Linked DNA regions of Macaca fascicularis. The protein of the gene in region 2 purifies or fractionates together with the protein of the main gene of each other region. This does not show direct contact. Links are inferred from orthologs where the notes say so. Each region holds a gene or a part of one and is shown on either strand. Other genes may lie near its edges. The genes, in order: SOD1 and RNF19A.

Evidence for each region.
Region 1: the proteins of RNF19A (region 2) and SOD1 purify together in Homo sapiens (affinity purification with western blotting, with the first as the bait; 3 studies listed by BioGRID). This does not show direct contact. The link is inferred for Macaca fascicularis from reciprocal best matches to the Homo sapiens genes RNF19A and SOD1.

Annotation. Positions count from the first base shown.
Region 1 is NC_088377.1:15,217,520-15,221,810, forward strand, and holds the start of SOD1 (superoxide dismutase [Cu-Zn]), read right to left. Parts: upstream 2,954-4,291; 5' UTR 2,877-2,953; coding exon 2,805-2,876; intron 1-2,804. UniProt on the Homo sapiens protein: Destroys radicals which are normally produced within the cells and which are toxic to biological systems.
Region 2 is NC_088382.1:109,875,560-109,878,474, reverse strand, and holds the end of RNF19A (E3 ubiquitin-protein ligase RNF19A), read left to right. Parts: intron 1-89; coding exon 90-780; 3' UTR 781-2,265; downstream 2,266-2,915. UniProt on the Homo sapiens protein: E3 ubiquitin-protein ligase which accepts ubiquitin from E2 ubiquitin-conjugating enzymes UBE2L3 and UBE2L6 in the form of a thioester and then directly transfers the ubiquitin to targeted substrates, such as SNCAIP or CASR.

The DNA.
Region 1 (4,291 bases), on a different chromosome or scaffold from region 2:
CTAGTCTAACCAGAGGTACTACTGTTTTCTGAAATCTTTTCAAGCACTGAAACCTAGATAACCTTTCCACTCTACCAAAAAGCAAGCAAGCAGTATCGCCATTCAGGCAATGGTGACAGGTAATGGTGCTCCGTGGCTACATACAGAAATCAAGGACGTTACGAGTAGATCTCAGGACTAAAATAAACACATCATCCACACCACACCGTCATACATGTTTGTGTCTCTTGTTTTTAGCTTGGTTTTCAAATAGGGACAACAGTTAAGGGGCATTAACCCTTAAGACATGACTTTCCACTGGAAAATACCACTGCTCAAACGAAGGATTCTGGCAATTGCGGCCTTTTAAAAATTCTTTTCTTTTTCAGAATAGACACTGTGACTCTTCTACAACCTCTAATTTTGGAAAAACTCAAATGTGAAAGTTGTCCCTCAAATATGCTGTGTTATCAAGAGCACAGGGCCAAAAAGAGGAGGTTCTTTCAAACCTCCATTTAACGGGTAATACATTGGGAACATGTAAGTAGCTGTGCTTAGGTACAACCCTACAGGGACCAGGCTGTGAACTCAAGTGAGTAACACAGGCCTGGAAAGCTCCAGCAGTACTGTCCTGGGCTAATGAAGGCTCAGTATGAAGAGATCTCCAACAATTCTTCAAGAGAAGCTAGGAAAACTGGACTATTAGGTGAAAGATTCTGATTTGTAAAAACTAGCCACGAGTCTAAGATTTTAAACACGGAATAGGCCACGCCAGGTAGTTTATAGCCAATTTATTATCTCTGCATATCTGGAAAGCTGGAATGCTCCACTATCCAAGGCTCTTTCTCAGGTACAAGGGGCACCAACCAAAACGAAGTCAGGCGCTTAAAAGAAGGAACTATGCACGCTGCTCAGGGAAGGTGGAAAATGACAGAAACCTGGGTTCATGCATGGATTCTCAAAGGCCAGGGAGAAGGAATTCCACAGAGGCGTCTTAAGACTAGTACTGGTGGCCGGGCGCGGTGGCTCACGCCTGTAATCCCACCACTCTGGGAAGCCGAGGCGGGTGGATCACCAGGTCAAGAGATCGTGACCATCCTGGCCAACATGGTGAAATCCGGTCCCTACTAAAATACAAAAAATTAGCTGGGCGTGGTGGCACGCGCCTGTAATCCCAGCTACCCGGGAGCCTGAGGCAGGAGAATTGCTTGAACCCAGGAAGCGGAGGTTGCAGTGAGCCGAGATCGCGCCACTGCACTCCAGCCTGGGCAAGAGAGCAAGACTCGGTCTCAGAAACAAAACACAACACTAGTACTAGTGAATTATGTGGGAATAAGTAAAGAGGGACAAAACGAAGTCTGACAAATGAAACAGCAAAATGGAGTCAAATGCCAAAGAACCTTTTCCAGAAAATCTGGAGACGTATTAAAGAAAAAAGCTAAACTCGTATCTCCCTCATACACATTTCAGACACTTGCACAGACTAACTGTTCCTGTCCTCTCACCTTTCTGTAAACACCTTTAAAGACTGAATCTCATTCATATGATAAATATTCTCTCATGACTTTTAAGCCGAGTACGAGACAATTTTCCACCAGTTGGTAACTTCACTAAGGCTCTGGGGGACAGTGTTATCACAAGCACCTTCCTTGCAAGACGTTTTGCAATTTTACTGATAATAGTTATGAAAATATTTCTGTACATTTTACAAGAGTCGTTCAGAAGTTTGTCTCTGACCATCTTAGCAACCTGCCTACTGGCAGAGCAATTTTAAAGCCACTTCACAGAAAATGTGGCTTAAGAAATGCTCCGACAAGAGTTACTAAGTACCAATTCCGTGTAATGGAAACTTCAGGTCTTCCAATTTCCAAATCCCAAACCCCACCCACTGTCCTCAAACAACAGTCCTCAATCGTAGGTGCACATCAAAATCACATTTGGAAACTTAAAAAACAGCAATAATCACCTGCGCTGGGACAGGTTTTGATGTAATTGGTCTGAGGTTGGGCTCTGGTGTATTTTTAGTAAGATCTTCAAATAAGCTAACTGTGCACCCAAAGTTAAGAATCATCGCCCTCGAAAGTCCCCAAAACGGTCAGTTAAAACTCTGGCTCTCGGAGCTTAGGAGGAGGAAAAGGACCTCTATCCAAGGCTACCTTCTCTGCCCTTGCAGCCCAACCATGACCTAGAACAGAGGCCAACAAACTCCTGCAAAGTGTCACACAAACGGTCTCTGTTGCGTATTTTTGTTTACCAAAGCCTTTTAAAAATATAAAACCCATACTTAGCCTTAGAGCTGTACAAAAGCGGAGACTCCCTGACCCAGAGCGCTGAAGCTGGAACGCGGAGAGGGATGCTAAGACACCAGCCGGGCCCAGGCGCAGTCGCCACCCCGGGCCGGGCCTGTCACTGCGCCACTCGGTGTCCGCGGGACCCTCAGGAACGAGAACACAGCCAAGCAAGGGAGGAGCACAGCTGCTCCAAGCACCACGACAGAGCCCGCGGCGGCCGCCCACGGACCCCGGAGGGCAGCACGCCCACGCCCGCCCCCGCGGCAATCCCTCCCCGCGCTCCCGCCACGCGCAGGCCCAGCCCCGCGGCGGCCTCGGTCGCACACCCCGCACCCGGGCCCGCCCGATGACTCAGCACTTAGCCGGCACCGCACCGCTGGGGGCAAAGGCACCGACCGGGCGGCGCGGCCCGAGGCCGGGCGCGGGACCAGGGCGGTCCCGAGGCCTGGCTGGCCACCCGCTCCTAGCACAGGTGCTCGGGGCGACGAGCGGGCGGGAGCGGCCTCGCAAACAAGCCTCCGCCCCGGCCCTTGCCTTCTGCTCGAAATTGATGGTGCCCTGCACTGGGCTGTCGCCCTTCAACACGCACACGGCCTTCATCGCCATGACTTGCTAGGCCACGCCGCGGTCCTGCTTCCGAATATTGCGAGACTGACCGCAAACGCTGCAGGAGACTATGCCGCAAAGCGGGATCACGGCGCCGCGACTACTTTATAGGCCGGACCTCCGCGCCCCGCCCACTCTGGCCCCAAACCAGTCACAGCGCACGCGCTCAGCCCGCCCCCTGCGGCAGCCTCGGGACGCGAGTGGCAGGAAATGACTGGGGGCGGGGCCAAGGGGCCGCGTGCGCCTCAGACTTCCCCCCGCCCCGCAGCCGGGAAAGGTCCAGAACCCCGAAATGGAAAAAAACACAGCCTTTTTTTCACGGGGGCGTGGCCCGACGGTTGCAGGACGCGAAATTGGCAAAATGATGTAAACAAGGTACGCCTTGAAAATCTGAAGTCACTTTGTCTAGAAATGTCATTGGTTATGACTGACTTTCGCCACAGCATCTCATTTGTTACTCAGAAATTAGGACGGCCCAAGATGGATGCTTTTGTAGTTTTCTTTTTTTTTTTGTCTTGTTTTTTAATTTTCTGAGGGCATAGAAAGTCGCTACACCTCAATCCCTGGCCTCACCTTTTCTTCCCCTGCAGTTGTTTTAGTCCTTAGCACATAGTTTCTTATTTGGTTGGCAGAATTCGGTATTCTTTTTATATTTTTCCTGTTTGGCAACGCTACAACCCCACAGATAACCAAAACGGCAACTAGTTGGCTTCTAGGCATCTCCTGCGTTTTTGCCTGGCCCCAAGGCCACAACACTCAAGGAGGGTAGAATGGTGAAATAATTTGTGATGTCTCCATACAACAGGAATGATAAATATGACTTACCTTTCAAGGGAAATATTTCAAAAACTTTGATGAAATGAGAAAATAGTACAAACTACTTTTGTCCGGGGCAAAGGGGTTGTTTATTTGATTTTTGAGACAGGGTATTGCTCTGTCACCCAGGCTGGAGTGCAGTGGCACGATCATAGCTCACTGCAGCCTCGACCTCCTGGGTTCAAAAGTCATCCTGCTGCCTCAGCCTCCCAAGTACCTGAGACCACAGGCATGTGGCACCACACCTGGCTGATTTTTGTATTTTGGGTAGAGATGGGGTTTTACCATGTTGCCCAGGCTGGTTTCAAACTCTTGAGCTCAAGCCAGCGGTCTGCCCACCTCGGCCTCTCAAAGTGCTGGGATTACAGACATAAGCCACCACGTCCAGCCTAGTATTTCGTACTGAGCATGGCAAAATACTCAGACTTAATTCAAGTCCAGCGTGAAACAACGATAGAAGCTATTCCAGCCTCGTTTGGAGTACACTACTATCTATTTATTTACTTATTTATTATTTATGTTATTTAGACCCTCAGACTCTAATGCATCCTCTATCAGAGAAAACACAATTCACATTTTTTTATCATCCTCTAGGAAGT
Region 2 (2,915 bases):
TGAATTTTCCACACAGAAACCCTGCCCCCAGTCATCTGAACAAAAAGAAGTCAGCAATTATGTTTGTATTTGTTACTCTTATATTTCAGAGAAGGCAACAGTATGGAGGTGCAAGTAGATATTGAGTCAAAGCCATCCAAATTCAGGCACAACAGTGGAAGCAGTAGTGTGGATGATGGCAGTGCCACCCGGAGTCATGCTGGTGGTTCATCCAGTGGCTTGCCTGAAGGTAAATCTAGTGCCACCAAGTGGTCCAAAGAAGCAACAGCAGGGAAAAAATCAAAAAGTGGTAAATTGAGGAAAAAGGGTAACATGAAGATAAATGAGACAAGAGAGGACATGGATGCACAGTTGTTAGAACAACAAAGCACGAACTCAAGTGAATTTGAGGCTCCATCCCTCAGTGACAGTATGCCTTCTGTAGCAGATTCCCACTCTAGTCATTTTTCTGAATTTAGTTGTTCTGACCTAGAAAGCATGAAAACTTCTTGTAGTCATGGTTCCAGTGATTATCACACCCGCTTTGCTACTGTTAACATTCTTCCTGAGGTAGAAAATGACCGTCTGGAAAATTCCCCACATCAGTGTAGCATTTCTGTGGTTACCCAAACTGCTTCCTGTTCAGAAGTTCCACAGTTGAATCATATTGCTGAAGAACATAGTAAAAATGGAATAAAATCTAATGTTGATTTATATTTTGGTGATACACTAAAAGAAACAAATAACAACCACTCACATCAGACAATGGAATTAAAAGTTGCAATTCAGACTGAAATTTAGGCCCATAAATGCTGCAAAATAATTACCACTGTACAACCGTGTTTGGAGCTGGTTGAACTACATGTGACTTCTTAAGTTTCAGGTTACAGCAAAAGCCAGGTTTCATTATCATAATGCAGATACATTTTCTGTGTTCAGCAAGGCATTGTGTGTCATGTGGATCTTAGTTACCAAACTATGAAATGAAGGCTTTAAAAGTGCATTATTTTAAGGATAATAAATTTGAAGAGCAAAGCACGTTTTGTGTGTTTGCCACAAAACATTGCTTGAAGCACATACTTAGATAGAAATTGATCTTAATTTATAATCAATATAAAATACTAATGCAATTCTACAGCATTCAAATGAAAACTTGAGGCTTTAGGGATAAGTGGTTAGTGATATTTTATTGAAACCACTAAGAGATAAGTTTAAAGGAACTGCATAGGTTACTCTCAGTATATGATACTCTTTGTAACATTTCTATTTATATCTGGGTATAAATTTCATTTTTTTTCTTCATATGCAATGTGGTTATATAAAGCTTAAAGCAGCTCATTTGCTACCATTTGGATACTTAGACACTTTGAGCAAGATTGTGGCAGTTTTTGCACAACTTTGAAATAGAAATACGTGGTACTCTATCTTGTATATTGTTGATGCCATCTTAGAGGAAAAATGTAAAGGTAAGTAATTAAGCATATGACAGCAACAAATAAGATATATAAAACTACAAAATAAAGTCCCATTAGGTTATAAGTATTACAAAAAAACCACCTTTCTCTAAGGGGAAATTTGTACCCCATTGATTCTTGGTGCCTTTGGGTTTGACTGGGTTTTAATGGCCTAGTTATTTGAGGATTTTGCTGTGTTGTTTTCCATGTCTTCTCTGGTCACCTTGGATTATATAGAAAAATACAGGAAATAGATAAACATGAATGTGATTAATAATAATGCTGAAAAAGTATTAGCCTACCAAAGACACACTCAGGCTTTAGTGAATAACTTTACATAACCTCAATTTTTAACACATGCGTATCTTCTCCAACCATGAAATCAAAGCACGGTGCAGAGCTTGTACCAAGTACAAAAGGTCCATGTATGATTAGCATTATTTTCTTTTGGTTTTGTTTATGGACAATGTTCAGCTGACATAAGCAGAAGTTGGCCAAAATACTGCCTGTACTGTTAATTTCCTGTATAATTCACTTAAATAAAAGCAGGTTAACCTCAATGATAGCAGTTAAAATGTTCTATCTTATGTATTTCTTTTAAGTATTACCATTATGGTGCTACTGAGCGTTTTCTTTTGGTAAAAAGAAAAATGCCATGGGCTGCAGTCTTCTTCCATCACTTTTCCCTACCAGGTCCATTAATATGCTTATAACACTAGTGCCAGTTATTTTATTTGATAATGCTTATGGTATTTGTATATTTGTTTGCATTCCAATTTTGTTTAATGAGTGTGTAAACTGCATACGTTAAATAAATGTAAATACTAATGTATTGCTGCCTTCTGGTGTGTGTACAAGTGTTTTATTATAAGAATGGGAATATTCATTGGCCCTGTGGTAGTGTTCATAAATATTGCAAGCCTTTGTGATTATTCTGCCTTTTGGTCTCAGCCCAAAGGAAAGCATTTGCTGAACTTTTCAACAGTGTTAGAAACTACCCTTTTTTCCTGTCTAATTCCTGCTTTTCCACCAGAAGAAAAGATGCCATATACATAAACATAATTTTTTTGAGTAAATTGGTTGAATTTAACTTGAGTAAATATATGTATCATTAAATTGTGAAGAGAAATCAGTATTATAAATCCTCATCTTTGAAAAATGGAAAGGTCAGCTAACTTGGGAAAAGGGGAAAAAAGTAAAAAGATCTTAAAAGACTGTTTTAAGAGATTCTATTCTAGCAACATTAGATTATGAAACTGGAGCCATTTAAATTCAAGCTAATTGTAATCAGATGCTTTCTATTCTTGTAGCCTCTGTAAAATGCGTAGATGGTTTTTCTGTTTCTCTGGTATATAGTTAATACTTGATGAAAATAATTTTTTTTTGTTCTTTTTTTTTTTTTTTTTTTTTTTGAGATGGAGTCTCACTTTGTAGCCCAAGCCTGGAGTGCAGTGGTGCGATCTTGGCTCACTGCCCCCTGGG